Linked DNA regions of Xenopus tropicalis. The protein of the gene in region 1 interacts with the protein of each later gene in a pairwise test. Links are inferred from orthologs where the notes say so. Each region holds a gene or a part of one and is shown in the gene's direction. Other genes may lie near its edges.

The links.
Region 2: the proteins of ppp1cc (region 1) and sh3rf2 interact in a two-hybrid assay, tested with the Homo sapiens proteins (2 studies listed by BioGRID and IntAct). The link is inferred for Xenopus tropicalis from reciprocal best matches to the Homo sapiens genes PPP1CC and SH3RF2.

What each region holds. Positions count from the first base shown.
Region 1 is NC_030677.2:162,951,016-162,958,950, reverse strand, and holds the start of ppp1cc (serine/threonine-protein phosphatase PP1-gamma catalytic subunit), read left to right. Parts: upstream 1-3,018; 5' UTR 3,019-3,196; coding exon 3,197-3,251; intron 3,252-6,953; coding exon 6,954-7,085; intron 7,086-7,935. UniProt on the Homo sapiens protein: Protein phosphatase that associates with over 200 regulatory proteins to form highly specific holoenzymes which dephosphorylate hundreds of biological targets.
Region 2 is NC_030679.2:39,618,668-39,626,556, forward strand, and holds the start of sh3rf2 (E3 ubiquitin-protein ligase SH3RF2), read left to right. Parts: upstream 1-3,726; 5' UTR 3,727-3,798; intron 3,799-6,735; 5' UTR 6,736-6,785; coding exon 6,786-7,163; intron 7,164-7,889. UniProt on the Homo sapiens protein: Has E3 ubiquitin-protein ligase activity. Acts as an anti-apoptotic regulator of the JNK pathway by ubiquitinating and promoting the degradation of SH3RF1, a scaffold protein that is required for pro-apoptotic JNK activation.

The sequences.
Region 1 (7,935 bases):
TCTTCTGATAAATTCTCTTTCCTTTATGCCTTTTATTGGTTGTTATACCTGTCAAACCTTGTTTTGTGACCTGGTTTCTCTTTAAAATATGTTTCCTGTCAGTTGGCCCTTGCCCAAGCTGGCTTCTGGTTTTCAGATCATGCTCAAGGCCTCATTACTACTGTTACAACCTTCTTGTAATTGATCCCTGCCTATTTTTTACCATGATTTATCGTCACCTGCCCTTTTGCTTATACTTGTTAATAATTTTGTCTCATCCTGAGATTGTAAGCTCTATGGGGGCAGGGACCTCCTTCCTATTGTCTCTTTAACAATTAGCATTTAATATTTAGGGAAGTGGCAAACGAGACCGCAGGCAACTAATCTCCCTGAATGTAAATCGCCGGTGGGATGGAATGTGTCGCTTCAGTTTTCAGAAGCTGCCTCACAAGGAAACTTGGGGTGATTTCCGAAAAACAAATTGATATGTATGCCATCCCACCGGCAATTCACAATTTTGCTGGTGGGGTGGCATTTCAGGCATTTAGTTGCCCGCGGTATCGAAGATTTATCATGGGTGACTAATCTTCCCATCTGCCACCTCCCTTAATGTAATTGTGTTTTGATTTATTATTGTATCAACCCCTATTAATTCACTGTTCTGCTGTACATAAGTAGAACTTTATAAATAAAATATACATACATTTTTGTCTTTAATTCACCGAAGTTTTTTCTGAAACATTTTGGGTTTCTTGTGAGCAGGTCCCCAAAAGGGTGTTGATGAGGACTGGTGTTTGTAGGGTTATTTTCACTTTATGAAGAAGTAAGGCTATTGTCAGCAGTCTTTCTCTGGGTATCTGACCAACTGTTGTTACAACACCACTACCAAAAATCAATATTGTAACAACAAATCAATAAAACTACTGAATCTTGTTTTAAATAATAATCCTTGTGCCAAAAGCATATTAGCAAAGACATAACTTCAAAGAAATGATATGACAGACTTCAGTATAACAACAATGAATATCTGGCAGCACTTCACTTATCCCAATCAAAAGAAATGATGAACCCATGTTTACAAAGGTTTAGCTGTTTTTTTTGCTCAAAGCCTTGGATTAATTTGTAGTACAGAGTACAAAGCCATGATTTGGGGATGTTTAATATAGTCTCTGTTGCTGCTTCCTTTATTTAAAATTTAGACCTAATTTGACCCAGCGTATATGAAATATTATTGTCAGAGTTTGATAGACACAACTAGAATGACAAAGTCCAAGAAACAAATTCTAGAATATACTCTTACTTTACTTCTTTTAAAGGGCTGAGTTCACACCAACATGCCCCCTTGCCAGGAGGATTTGTGCAAGTGTAACAGATTTGAAGGGAACAGTAAAATAAACAGATATTCTCTATGCAGGTGTGTGATTGGTTTTTATTTTTTTTTTATAGTTTCTGAACTTCTCTTTCTATTGTGCCTTTTTCAGCTACTCAGAATAAGTGTGCATCAAGCATGTTTGCATTTGACTTACTGGCTCCATTATTACCCTTTGTGTAAAAAGTAGTGGAGGACAGGCTAATCTGCAGAGGTGAGACTGTTTAATTTGAAGAATGCTTTTACAGTTGTATTTATTTAGTAATGTGATATTTGTTTCATTTCAATTTACTTTGTATATTGTTGGAATTTAAAAAGCATTATGAGCTTTGGCTCATGATGCCTGAAATGAATATATATATACCTTGCCTTGAGGTATCTACTGTGAAATTAACCACTGGTGAACTGCTGGGAGCTTTGTATTCATTCTAATAAAAATCTTAAAGAAACAATCCCCTTTTGTGACAATACTATGAAATAAAAAAAAGTAAAGGGGTCAGTTAGAAAGGCCCTTGGCACAGATGCAAGAGCACTAAAGGGCACAAGGGCTTATCTACCGAGCACTTGTGTCCAAAGTTGTGCTGTTTTTTGCAGGGAGCACCAGATCAAACATTTAGAATGGTGTTAGGCTGTTGGCAGCCTAGTCCTAACTTTCTACAACATATTTATTTCAATACTGGTGTAGAGATTTCAATTAACACTAAGTTGGTAGGGTAATAATTATTCACCCTGGACTAGTTGAGACACTGGTCTCCTGATCTTCAGGTGTCTGGGTTTCCACTGGCCAAGAAATTGCCAAACCTCCTGGCTGGCCCTGGCCCTGGCCAATGTACAGAAGCATTGATACCTGCACGTTTCTTCTTGCGTTACTAAGCCAGAAAGCATGAAGTCAGGGAGTACAATTATTTGGGGCAAAGGCTTCTGCAACTACTGAGAAAAAACAGCAATTAATGTATTAAATGTGACAGCTTAGGCAGCAGCACTGCCATCAGATGGGACAGAGGGAAATTTGGTCAGGGGCCTGATAGCAAGGGCTTCTCACAAGAGCTGATCTGAGACTTTTGGGCTAGTGGGTGAAGTCTGGGCTGATTGTGGACAACTTGGCAAAAATGGGAGTGAATTCGGGTTTTTTTGGAGCTCCATTGTACTTTTTTGCAGGATCCACTGCTCAGGTGTCAAGGAGTAGCCCCATAATTACTGATGGCAACCCTGTTAGGAGGCTACCAAAAGGTATTTCTGTGTATTAGTTGAAAACAATAAATTTAGCTGACGTGAAGTAGCCATATCTATTTTTATTTTACGTGTATCGTTTTTTCAAAATTACTAAGTATTTCACTTTGTTTTGGAAATTACACCTCATTCAAATATCATTTACAAAACCTAGAAACCCACAGAATGATCAAAGACAATGTCACTGGATCTTTTTTAAAACAAAAACAACCCTCACACGTGTAATGCATTCCTAAAACCGATAACGGTTACCATTTTTTATATACGCAGTACTAACTTTTGGCACTAGAGAAAAAATAGTCCTAGCTCGCAAATACGGCCAAATTTCAGAAACGGCTGGCGCAATGAAACACAGCGTGGGTTGAGATTTGACTGTACGTGCTATCGCCTGGGTCTTTAAAATGTACCAGGTCGTGCATAGATATTCATGCGCGGGCCGGCAGGGGAGGAGGTGGCGCCATTTTGTCAGGTTCTTGGGAGTCTGTAGCGGAAGACGAGCGAGGGGGATTGAAAAGCCGCTGCGGCGCCAAGACTGCCCCCTGCCCGGTTTCCAGTACGTTTGGGCTTCTGTTTTTATTGCGACAGTTTACTGGGTCCGCCATTTAGACTTTCGGAGCAATGGCAGATGTTGACAAGCTTAACATCGACAGCATCATACAGCGACTGTTAGAAGGTGAGGATGGTACTCGGGAAGGCCTGGCCGGGTTTCCTTACACTCTGTCACTTTACTTTCATGTGGTGGCAGGGTTGAAAGGGTTGCCATTAGCTATGTATGTGAGTGAGCAATGATGTATACACGGTGTTATTATTGGGGCAGCGGGGTTTGTAGCATCCTGGCTGGGCTCCTTGTGCTGAGATTGATATGGCAGTTGGAGCGGCTGTCAGCCTGCAGTTGCGTTACGGAGCCGTTACCGGAACAGGACTTTATTCTATACTCCGGTACATACAGGGTGCCGCTCTGATTGCTCATAGTATATATCTAGTTAATCAGGCTGTTGTACGAGTTATTGGCCGGACTGGCCCAATATACATTGTATAGAGGCGATCCGCTGGCTCCTAGCCGCTGCATGTGTATTCCATGTGCAGAATCCGGATTCACCCAGTATATCCGATCCTTAACACTGCGCAGCGCTCCATACACCTGGGAATCGCAGCGATCCGTATAGGGACCAAGGTGCTTCAGACTTTAGATTGAACTATGATTATTGCTCACTCCATAGGGGGCATGTTGTGCATTAGCTGATTATTTCCATTTGCCTTAGTTGACCTTCATAACTGTGTATATTGCCAATAGGTGGGGGTTATCCTGACCCTGTGCCACAGCTGTGCTGCTCTCACTCGCAGCTTTACTGATGCACTATATGGGGGAGTTGGAAGAATAGATTGTGTCATTTTGTGTAGTTTGCCTTTAGTTATGGGCAATGGGTGAGCAGCAATGACTGGATCTATTTTCATTTGTTGTTCTCATTAGTAAATTAATGCTGATGTGGTGTGACTTTAATGAGGAAATGTAAGCTACTAGCTCTGTGTAGAGGTGCCATTACATTTTCTTTTTTTTTTCTCTAACACTTTTTGCTCCTCGGTTCTCTATTTGGCAACTTAGGCTGCAATTCCCTTGTGGGGTTACAGGTCCTTGCAACCAGTTACTTGTTTAAAGGGCAACTGTGATAGGAAAATTGTTTACGGCTAATAGACCCTGCAACTCGGGTGGAAGAAAGCAATACTATTAGTGGGCATCTATTTATGGTATATAGTCTATATACATATATTTATGTATATGTAATGAGTTAACTGACTTACTCATTGTGAACATTCCTGTTGTGATGCACGCATTCGCATGAATGTGCCAGCTTATGTTTAGGCTCCAAATATGGCTGCCCACTTTACACTACCTCCTGGTGTGGACAGCATAGCCCTATTACATACAAAGCCAAAGTGTTTTTTGGGGCAAAATGTATAGTTTGCCCCAACCAGAATGCAGGCTTAATTAGCCCATATTTTCTGCGGTGAATGCAATTTTCTTGTTTTCTTTCTACTTCAAATTGAAGTACAAATAGTGAGTAAAAAAGGACATAATAAAAGCCTTGCAATGATTCTGAATTCCTAGTTCACTGACTTGCATTCACATGGCATTTTAGACCTTCAACTGTGAATATAAAGTAAATAAAAGTCAAGATTTTAATTGTATAAATCTGCAGCATACTAAATGTTAATGACTAAAATTCTGTAGGCTGATATGCTAATGTATTTGTAAGGGCAAAATATAAGTGGTTGTGTCCAGACAAGACAATGAAACCTTGTTGCTCCTATATTTTACATATATTAAAGGGGCATTATACCCAGTTTTCACCAGTAAAAAAAACATTGGCTGAGCTGGAAAAGAAAAAGGGGGTCAGCAAAAATATTTGCTTGCCCCAACACTCCAGCTGAAACCGAAGTTCTCTTGCTGTAGGCGATCAGATTCTTCAAACAACTGTCGTACCACCTTCTGTAACTATTAGTCTAATATTTAGGCGCAGGCCGAGCAAGGCTGGATTCCACCCAGCAAAAAACACATGGGGAACAATAATACCTCCTTTCTCAACATTTGTTTAATAAATAGGGGCTGAATATACTTATGTCTTTTGTTTTAATTGTGAAAAATCTCATTTTTATTTTGTGAGCTAAACAGGAAAACTGAAGCTATTCCATGTTTGGTCCTTGCGAGGTAGATTTTTAAAAATTGAAATGGGCAAAAAGTGTTCCGTAGAAGACCTATTTATTGATCTATTGTTAAACAAGGGGGGATACTGCACCTTTTAATGGAGACATATTGGATTTTTGAAAGTCACTCTCGTGTTGGTAACAATGAATAATATATGGTGCCTGATTCAGTGCCCTTAAGTGTTTACTCTGAAAATGTCACATTTAGAGAAGCTACCCATAGATCCTCTTGTCTATTACAAATGAGATGTGGGCTTGTCCTGACTTCTCCAATTTAAATATTGTGGAACGACCTAACTTAAACTGTTCATGTGAGGAAACCCACAAACATCCAAAAGCTGAAGCTGTTCTGTATAGAGGAATGGGCTAAAATTCGATGTGCAGGACTGATCAACGTTTGCTACAAACATAAAACATGTTTACATTTACTAATTCACGAACGCTCCGAGCGTATTTTTGGTGACTTTTTCGTACTTTGCGACAAAATTTGTGCGACAAAATCGTATTGTCGCGCTGAGTAAGAACGTTTTGGATACATTCAAGCTTTGGTATCGTGACTTTCCTTGGGCCAGGTTGGAGCTGCACAGTGCCATTGATTCCTATGGGAGAATTTCCTTGGGCCGGGTTGGAGCTGCAGAGTGCCATTGAGCCCTATGGGAGACTTTCCTTGGGCCAGGTTGGAGCTGCAGAGTGCCATTGAGCCCTATGGGAGACTTTCCTTGGGCCAGGTTGGAGCTGCAGAGTGCCATTGAGCCCTATGGGAGACTTTCCTTGGGCCAGGTTGGAGCTGCACAGTGCCATTGATTCCTATGGGAGAATTTCCTTGGGCCGGGTTGGAGCTGCAGAGTGCCATTGAGCCCTATGGGAGACTTTCCTTGGGCCAGGTTGGAGCTGCAGAGTGCCATTGATTCCTATGGGAGGCTTCCAAAATCATGCACAGAAGGATCAAAGTCGGAAAGGGTTGCCTGCATTTTACGATTGTTCGGTACGAAAATTTCAAGACTTTCGGATCGGCAATACGATATCGTGACTAATGAGATTTTTTCATAAGCATATTCGTGATATTTGCGATCTTAAGAAATTATCGTATCCAATCCGAATTTATCCCATTTGGGATTCGAACTCATGTTTTCATTTAGTGTATTTATGTATGTATCTTACATCAAGCAAGAACATAGTCCTACAAACTGCAGTTGTCTATGAGGCTAATACATTGGTACAAAAATCAACTTTACATTGATTGGTCATTCACATTCTTGGTTGCTATTTTAAAATTGTACTTGTAGTGTCAATATAGAGTGGTGCCATTGCAGTATGAACATCCTTTTTAAGTATTCTGTTGTACTAATTTGCATTATTTCTCCCCATAATATGCTAGAACCAGGCTGACTGTTTAACATATTAGTCAATTAGAAACCAGATAAAGCGGTGACTGGCTACCTACCTACCCTTGCTTTTGGGTGAGGATTATTGGTTACAAGTGAGTGGTGTGTCTTGATGGACCACAGTGGCTCAGCAGCATTTTAAACCCTTATTGAGGTTGGGCTTCATATATTCATGACTACAGGATGTGATTTTTCTAAAATATCAACCCTTTTTAGTATACTATTTTCAAAATTGAATGTCATGGTTTATTATACCCTTTATGTTGAACCATTTAATTTTGTTCTAGTTAGAGGATCAAAACCGGGAAAAAATGTTCAGCTTCAAGAGAATGAGATTCGAGGGCTCTGTCTGAAGTCTCGGGAAATCTTCCTCAGTCAGCCAATCTTGCTTGAGCTTGAAGCTCCTCTTAAAATATGTGGTAAGTGCCGTGTTTAATTACCAGTGGTTATGTTGGTAGAGTAGATTCCACTTACCTGCCAGTTAGCAGGGCTGCACAAGTTTGATCTGGTCTAGTCTACCTATACATGTCACTTCCTGCTTATGGTAGACATAATGCTACCGTTCATGAATAACCTAGTTCTGACTGGAAACTTATTAGTCAAACCTGTACAGACATCAGAAATGTGTGCAAACTCTCTCTGCAACAACTGATTATCAAGCATCTCCACCTAATGGTGAGCAAAGGCCACTGCAGCTATTAATAAATCTCTTCTCCCTAAGGAAGCTATAGCAATAGTATTGGCAACATGGCAAATTCACTTATATTGATAAATGAACCTATTAATGCCAAATTACTCATCCCTAAATGGTAAATCTTTTTTCAAGAAATGGTTGGCTCAGTTACAAACAGTAAATGTATTTACCTTTTTAGTCTTGTTGGCAAAGGGGGCCTAACCAACCATTTTGTGTGTTCTTGTATATGCCATCTGAACCTGTGAGATGAACTGAAGCTCCTCTGTACCAACAGATGTTTGATAAAGTACAGATTTGGGATTCCTCATTTGGAAATCCATTATCTAGAAAGCTCTAATCTATGGGAAGACCATCTCCAAGTCCATTTTAGGGTGAAGATACACAGAGCTACTAGTAGCAACTACTTTTTCATGGCTACTAAACACCAGAAAATACCCTGCCATAGACAATACTGAGAATTACCACTGCTAAAACATATGTAGAGACAATTATCAGTAAAACATCAACATTGTCTATTTTAGTAGCCACAGCAATTAGCTGCTACTAGTTGCCCCATGTGTCTTCACCCTTAGGGC
Region 2 (7,889 bases), on another chromosome or scaffold:
TGACAATACTTGGAACTGGAAACTGGAATCTATAACCTAAACAAATCAAGACAGGACCCATTATATACAAAATTCGCATTAATCAAGAAAATGGAAAATAAAAGCTTTGCTGGTAATTTTCTGATTTATAATAAAAGATGGGGGTATCCTAAAAGGCTGGATTAAAACCATCAATATGCACCCCATTTACTTGCATGGCAGGACTCTTTAAGCACAGGTACACTTACTTGTCAGGAAACTTGGAAATGCTGACAGCTCAAAAATTACACTTGGTTCCATTACTGTTAAAGGGGCAGCATACCCTCTTTTTAACCTGAGTTCATTGGGGCTTGTGCTGAACATACTTTCAACCAATTGTTTAAATCATAATTTATTTATTTTTTGTAACTTCATGAGCTAAATGGGCAAACTACAGAAGCTACTCCATATTTGGTTCATGGGAAGTAGATAATTTGATTTCCGGTGTAGACTCCAGTTAACAGAACAGTGGGGAGGTGGGATGTATACAGGGCATCTAAATTGTGATTAAAACAAAAGAAAAAAAAGAATATACAATACTGCCCCTCAAAGGTCTCTAGCGAATAGTGCAAAAAATTAAGCACTCATTCATAGCATTTATAAAATGTAATATTTTTTTGCAATTTGCAATGTAATAACAGTCCACTGAACAATATTACATTGTGAAATGCTAAATTGTATTCTTATTTGTGCGCATTTTTTTTCCATTTATGACTTTTATTACATTCCCCCATAAGTGTGCAAATATATAACTTTGCAGCATGTTCAGTACTACATTTGTCAAAGAGCCTGGCTGTATTTGAGATCACATTAAAGCCTAAAGCTGGTTTGTCCAGGGATCAAAACTATAAAGCAGTGCAATCTCCAGTAGTTTTCTTCAGACCACATACAATTTTCAGCTCTAAGCATTAAGCGTGTGCCAAAGCAATTCTGCATCAGTGTGGATTAAATTAGCTGTGTGTTGTAGAAATAATGATAACAGTATCCAGACATTCACGCATGAATACTCAAATCTTCATTTACTTGTTTATTTATTTGTTTTGGCTTATTCTCTAAAAAATGTTTTGAATTGGCAGCAGTGTGAATGGTGTGATGTTTGCTGCTCGGTAGGCCCTTAATTCTTATCCTTCTTCGTTAGATTTCAGCTTTTTGCTATCAGCGAGACTAGAACCAGGGATTTCCTTCTGAAGATATTATTTTTTTAATCTCATAAACATCCTCTATACAACTTATTAATTAGACCCTCCCATCCCCTTGGGTTTCTAGGCCATGCCTTGTCTGGTTTCTTGTAAAATAAATGACACATTCAGAATTCTCTGCTATGATCAACCTTACCAAGGCAATGCAATTACAACTGACTCAGAAAACTATAAGAGTTGGGATTAAGCCAAAAAAAAGTGCTAAGAGCACCTTTTGGTTCAGAACTGCAGTAAATGTTGAGGAAATAAATACCAGCACGCTATGGCTGGAAATTTTCTTGAAGAGTTTTTGACTTCAGATAAAGGTAGAATCGTGTAAGCCTTGCTGGAATGGCTATCTTTAGCAATAGTAACTTGACATGGCAGATTCAGTGGCCTAGATAAGATTCTAGCTAGTTTCTACTACAAATCAAACTACTAACTTAGGGAACAATTATAACAAACTGATCATCCCTCCCATTTATTATGTGTCCATAAACTTTTTTTTCTTGGAAACTACTAGAAAAATGGCTCCACCATTTAGTATGATGCTTTTGGTGGGGGATGTTTTCTCTGAATATGATAAATCAGTGGAGACATGTTATGACCCATGGTGGAACAAGCTAGGCTGTTTAGGACATGTTATGTTAAAGAAGGAAAGGCTAAGTCACTTGGGGGTGCCAAAATGTTAGGCACCCCCAAGTGACTTTAATCGTTTACCTTGTACCCTGGGCTGGTGCCCCTGTTAGGAGAAAACCGCACCAGCCCGGGGTACCTGCAGCGAGCACTTCCACAAATTTATGAATAAAAATGCATCATCTGTGAACAAAAAATTGTCATGTTCAGTTGTCCAGATCTGTAAAGTCATTGAAGGTTTGGATGTAGTTCAGCTGAATAGTTAGGATCTTCTGACTCCTGCTCAGCAATGACTCTGAGTGTGCAAAACAGAATACACAGAGACAGGGGATGACTTTGATGTAGTTGGCCAGCTTGAAGTACATTGACAAACAATCCCTGTTTTGCTTTAAGGGGAGGGCATTTCTTGGTAGCTTAATGCACAAAATATCTCAATGTTCTATATGTATATTGGATCTTTTGTTGTTGTCTGCCTTAACGAGTGTCAAGGTTCACTTTAGTTGCTGAACTTAAATGCAAAGGTGACAGAAGAGCATTTTATTTGGGCATTAAAAGGTGTATAACAAAGCCCCTTTGAGCTGACTAAAGTGCTGCACAAAGCACATAAATTATAGATGAATACATTGAAAAAAATCATTTTTGAGCTTTTGTGGTCATACAAAGTAAAAAGCTACAGTAGAGAGAGTAGAGCAAGCTTCAGTCAATCTAGAAGCTTCTGGGAGCACCAACCAAAGACATTTATTCTTTTAACATGAAACAGCCTTGGGTGTAATGTTCTGCATAATGCTGTTGTAAGCAAAGTTTGTAACAGATATGTATAGTGTTGGATCCCTTTGGACATTGGGGAAACATAAAACTTCATTACTGAAATACATAATATACTCACATAACCTTCTGTCTCCCTATCAGATAGAAAGTTTCATGTAGTCATTATATTTAAATTAGTCTGTTTCAGTGCCTGAGTAGGGGTGATCAGCCAAACTGTCTGTTCAAATTCCCATTCTTGCACTTATATGTCTTCACGACCCTTTGAAAGTCTGTATGGTGTGAAGGGGATGTAGTATTTCTATTTGACGTCCATAGTACAGCTCACCGAGAGCATCTGTAGCCATCTTCTTTCATTGTGCATATGTGTAGGCAACATATAATATTTCTAGGGTGCTTGTACTCACTGGGGTCACAGGAAGCTGTAAGCACTGTAAAATTCTGACTGATGTAATTGAAAAGTGATCTCTGGGTCTCCTCCAGAATGTTAGTAATACATTCTGGTACTACCACCAATTGCTCCCTTTTATCAATGTCCTACAAGAACATTTTAGGAGGTACATGACTTCTGGATGATTGTTTAATGTCTAAGTTACAGCATTGGATTTAGTTATTACTCTCAGTACCTTCTCCTATAGATTTATTTTCTCCTAATAGTTTAGGAAAGAAAGGAGACTACTTTTCCTCATATGATGATTCTTCAGCAAGCCTTCCTGCATAGACTACATTCAATATCAACTTAATGATAACTAATCTGCCCTACAAGCCCACCTCAGGTTTTTATCATGTCATGGCATATTCATGGGTATATGATATTAATATCATGTTCTTTTCTATCTCTATTATATTAAAACACTTTTACTGTAAGGAAAGAATTCCTAAATGCGATAATAAGCATATTGTTGAAACTTGTTTTCTTGAAAATGCCCTTCACAGCAAATTTAAGCTTCTTGTTTTATTCTTTGGATTTTGAAATACCAGGAACACCGTGTGTGTTCACAGGAACACATCCAAACTTCCTCCTCAGGACTCATGCCAAGAATCCAACCTGCCTCAAGAAGGGTTAAATGGGCTGTACCAGTAAACTGATCTAAGAGAAATTCAGAGTATAGCAAAGTTGCTTTTTTATGCAGCTGTAGCATGAGGAACGAGGCTGGATTGTCCCATGAGCTGTGTGGTATAAAGGTTTATACAAGAGAAGGTCAGTTGTTGCAAACTCTTTGGATGACAGAGGTGTAGAGGATGGTTACTTCAAAACACTATTTATATTTGTAATCTCAGATTTTCTAGCCGGTATAGCAGAGCAAGGCATTGCGATTGAATTGTTCTACTTTTTCTTTGTCTACATGTGCTCTTGTCTACTGCTCTTTGGGATAAAGTCAGGATTTTTGTTTAAATAACACAGACCCCGTTGGCATGGTGGTTGGTAAATGCTTATAATAGCTGTATATAATATTTTTTTTAGATACAATGCATGTGACAACATTGTTTGGTAAGTGGGAACACTAGAGGCAATAAAATAACTATTCTGTTTTAATAGAAGAAATCTAATTCTATTAAATGCTTATATATATGTTTCCTTTTTCCTTTATTTAACGTGTATTTACAATGAACCCCCCCCAAAAAGTATCTATTGTAGTTTTTATCAGTTAAAAACAATTAAAAAGGTATGTATTTCAGTGTTGTGTATTAATACAGACAGTTTTACTGTTGCCCTGAATAACTCCCTACTGTCTTGTATCGTTTCATAGGTCCCATTTGTTGTGTAACTGGATTTCTGGGATTAGTTTATTAGATGTTTTTATTATTGTGTTTACACAGATATCTACTGTGCTATATGCTATACCTTATCTAGGGATATATACAGGCATATGATCTATTATCCAGAATAATATAATTTGGATCACCATTTGCCACCAGTATGTATTCATGCAGCATAATTACCTTTAATACAAGGTTCTATTATTATAGAGAAAAGTAAAATCTTTTTTTAAAAAAATTAGAATTATTTGCTTAAAGTTGAGTCTATGGAAGATGGCCTTTTTGTAATCTGGAGCTTTCTGGATAATGTTTCTAATGGTCTTATTCTAAGGAATCCTATATCCATACTGCATTCTAAATACAGATAAACTGATTTTCATCTTGGCACACATCATATATTTTAACAGACTCACAAGGTATCATTTAATAATATGCATTAAACACCATTTCTTACCCCCCAAAAAAGTATAGTATAAACCCACAGTAGAACTGGCAGAGCTTTTGCGATAGGTAGATTCGTATTAATTCCACAAAGCACTGTTCATACTTATACTAATTCATTGCTCCTGGCTGATGTGCCCATGGCCCTGGAGCTGACTGACACCTTGACAAGGAATGTGCCCATTTTGAATGTTGCATTATTGGACTTTATAGAACTTTCATGCTAATAGAGTTTTCTTTTATTAATTTAGGAAGAGCATTTCTTATCATTTACACCCAAAAGCTGCTTGAAATTTAGTCCACTGGTCCCCTATAAAATAAATTATATTTAAATATGTTATTTATATTAAAAAAACATTTAAAAAAATATAATTTACAGCATGCCTGGTAAAATGTGTACAAAGCAGCAAAAAATATGACTACACTCAACAGGCTTGGTGTAACAGATTTTAATAGACAAACAAAAAAATTCCAACATTTCGGTCACATCATCATGATCTTCCTCAGGGAAAAAAACTATATACATATTTGTAGTTTAAAATAGCCAGATTAAGCTGTTTGACACCTCTTCTGCCAGCCCATTTTCAAACTTGCGTAATAATTCTCATCAAGAAAGAAGATGTTATCACAGATTTATGTTGCAAGAGTTACTTCACACTTTTACCTGCAGTCATGTAAATTCTCTGAAGAGAATGATTTGGCTGGCTGACATGGAGGAAACTTGTCAGCTTAATGGCATGATTCTTTTTTCATTTGCAACTTACTTTCCTCTTACTGGGTTCATTTAGTTATACTGCTAGAACACAAAATAAATAAATGCCTGGGTAAGTATGGTTGGGTGTGATAGTTCTAATCTTTGTATTGTGTAATAAATTCTGGAAGTATGACCAAAATGTGGTCACTCCCATATCTATGTAATTAAAGGAGTACTAAAGCAAAAACAAGGGTAACTAGAAATGCTGAACATTATGTACTGAATCAGTAATGGTCTATGCCTTCAAAGTTGCCCAGAGAAACTCCCCATCTTCTAATCTTGTGATCCACCGCACATGCTCAGTGGCTCAGGAGTCCCTAAGTTTAGGGGTCATCATTATAAATCAAAACCTTTGCAGAAAGTGAAATTCTGTTGTATCAGTTAATGTTACAGAGATTATCAGCCTTGTACTTTGAATTTTATATGGTACAGTCAATTTATACAGTCTTTGACTATTATTGCAATAAGAAATAATGCCTTATTAAGTAAATAATTAAGGGCCAGCAATAAACTTTGGTGATAAAAATGGCTTTTGCACATTGAAAGTTTATAGCAGGATCTTCTTAGGACCGCTATACTCTCTATTGTTACACCCATTTTTAATTCTATAAAGTTCCCCATTTACCAAACTAATTCTAATTTCTTCGGATTTCAAATTTATCAACATGCCCCAGCTATGATGTCAGAACTACAGCATTATAGCAATATTTATTGTAGGAGAATATAACAGTGCACCTAAAGTTCAGATTAGCAAAATACTGAAACGTAACGCCTTGATCTTTCTTCATAATAGCTGGGAAAAATATGGCTAGGTGTAAAACCTAAATTAAACAGATTGTCCTTTCTGAACCACCATGAAAGTGTAGAAAAATCAAGTGATTCTTTGTATGTTTCCTGTAAAGCACAACCCTTGAATCCTGACAGCAATGCAACAAGAAAGCAGTATTTTATAAATTCCATTGTATTTGTGAATCACAAATATGACTCATTGGAATAGAAACTCGACTGTAGAACTGAGGTGCACATTTGAAAGGCGTCTGATGAGAGATTGCTGGATAATACAGTACATAGGATTTCGCCTTGATATGATGTGTTGGTGAATTATTTTTAATCGTTGGCCCATCTTTAGGTGTGGGTCTCAGGATTCTTAGATTAAAAACACTTTTCTGCTCTTTGTTTTAGTGACTATGAAGCCTTCATCATCTTTGGTTTAACTGCATATTTCGAATAAGATGGATGAATTGGTTGTTCTTGACCTCCTGGATTGCCCCTTATGCCTTGGAAAATTGGATGTTAATGCCAAGGTGCTGCCATGCCAACATACCTTTTGCCAGCCTTGTCTGCAGAGACTATTTAAAGCCAAAAAGGAACTGAAATGCCCAGAATGCAGGACCCCTGTACAATGCAGCATTGAAGAGCTGCCAGCCAACTTATTATTAGTACGAATACTAGATGGCTTGAGAGGTGGGCAAACCCTTCTGAGAAGAAACTCCTCACGGAGGATGGGGGGACTCTTTGCCCAAGATTCTTTAAAGAAGAGCAAAGCAAACAGAGCAAGCCAGGATTCTACAAGTAGGACCATTTCCAAGGCCAGGATGCCTGTAGATGGGGTAAGAAAATAGGCTGTAATTTCTCTATAATTAAGTGGGTGAAACCATATGGCATTCTAAATAAAACACCAGAATAGCTACATAGCTACAATAAAAAGCAAGAATAGCTACATAATATTACAGATAGTAAAGCTACGCAGTTTAGAGTAATTTCCTAGTGCAGTTATAGGGCTTTTTCTGATTTCTTTCAGTGGGAAGGGGATGGGTGATACCTCCACTGCCACAATTTAAGTGATTGATATGAAATGGTAAAGGTTGTTTTGTCTATATGGTTGTGAAATCTTGTCTTGCATAAGACGGCAGAAACCAGAATAATATTACATCTTATAAAAGCACCTTTTACATGTCTCAACATCATCGATATTGAGACGTGTAAGTCATCGACATTAAGTCATACATATTTTTTCAATAAGAGGTTAAAATCCATATGTCGCTTCCATGTTGCTTGCATTAGATGAATTAATGAAAAAAAATCACAGTGCATTTATGCAAGAACGCTCAGCGCTGAATGTCAATTCAATGCGGCTTTTTTTATCCTGTTATCACACAACAGGGATAATCACGGATTCATGATGACTGCTCATAAATCTTGATCATCTGCATAAGGGATATGTCTTGAGATTGGGTATTATTAGCTCTAAATCAACATTTTACCTAAGGGTCTAAATAACTATTTAAGAAGTCAGCAGAACATATGGCTTGGTATAATGCACCAGATGCTCTTCC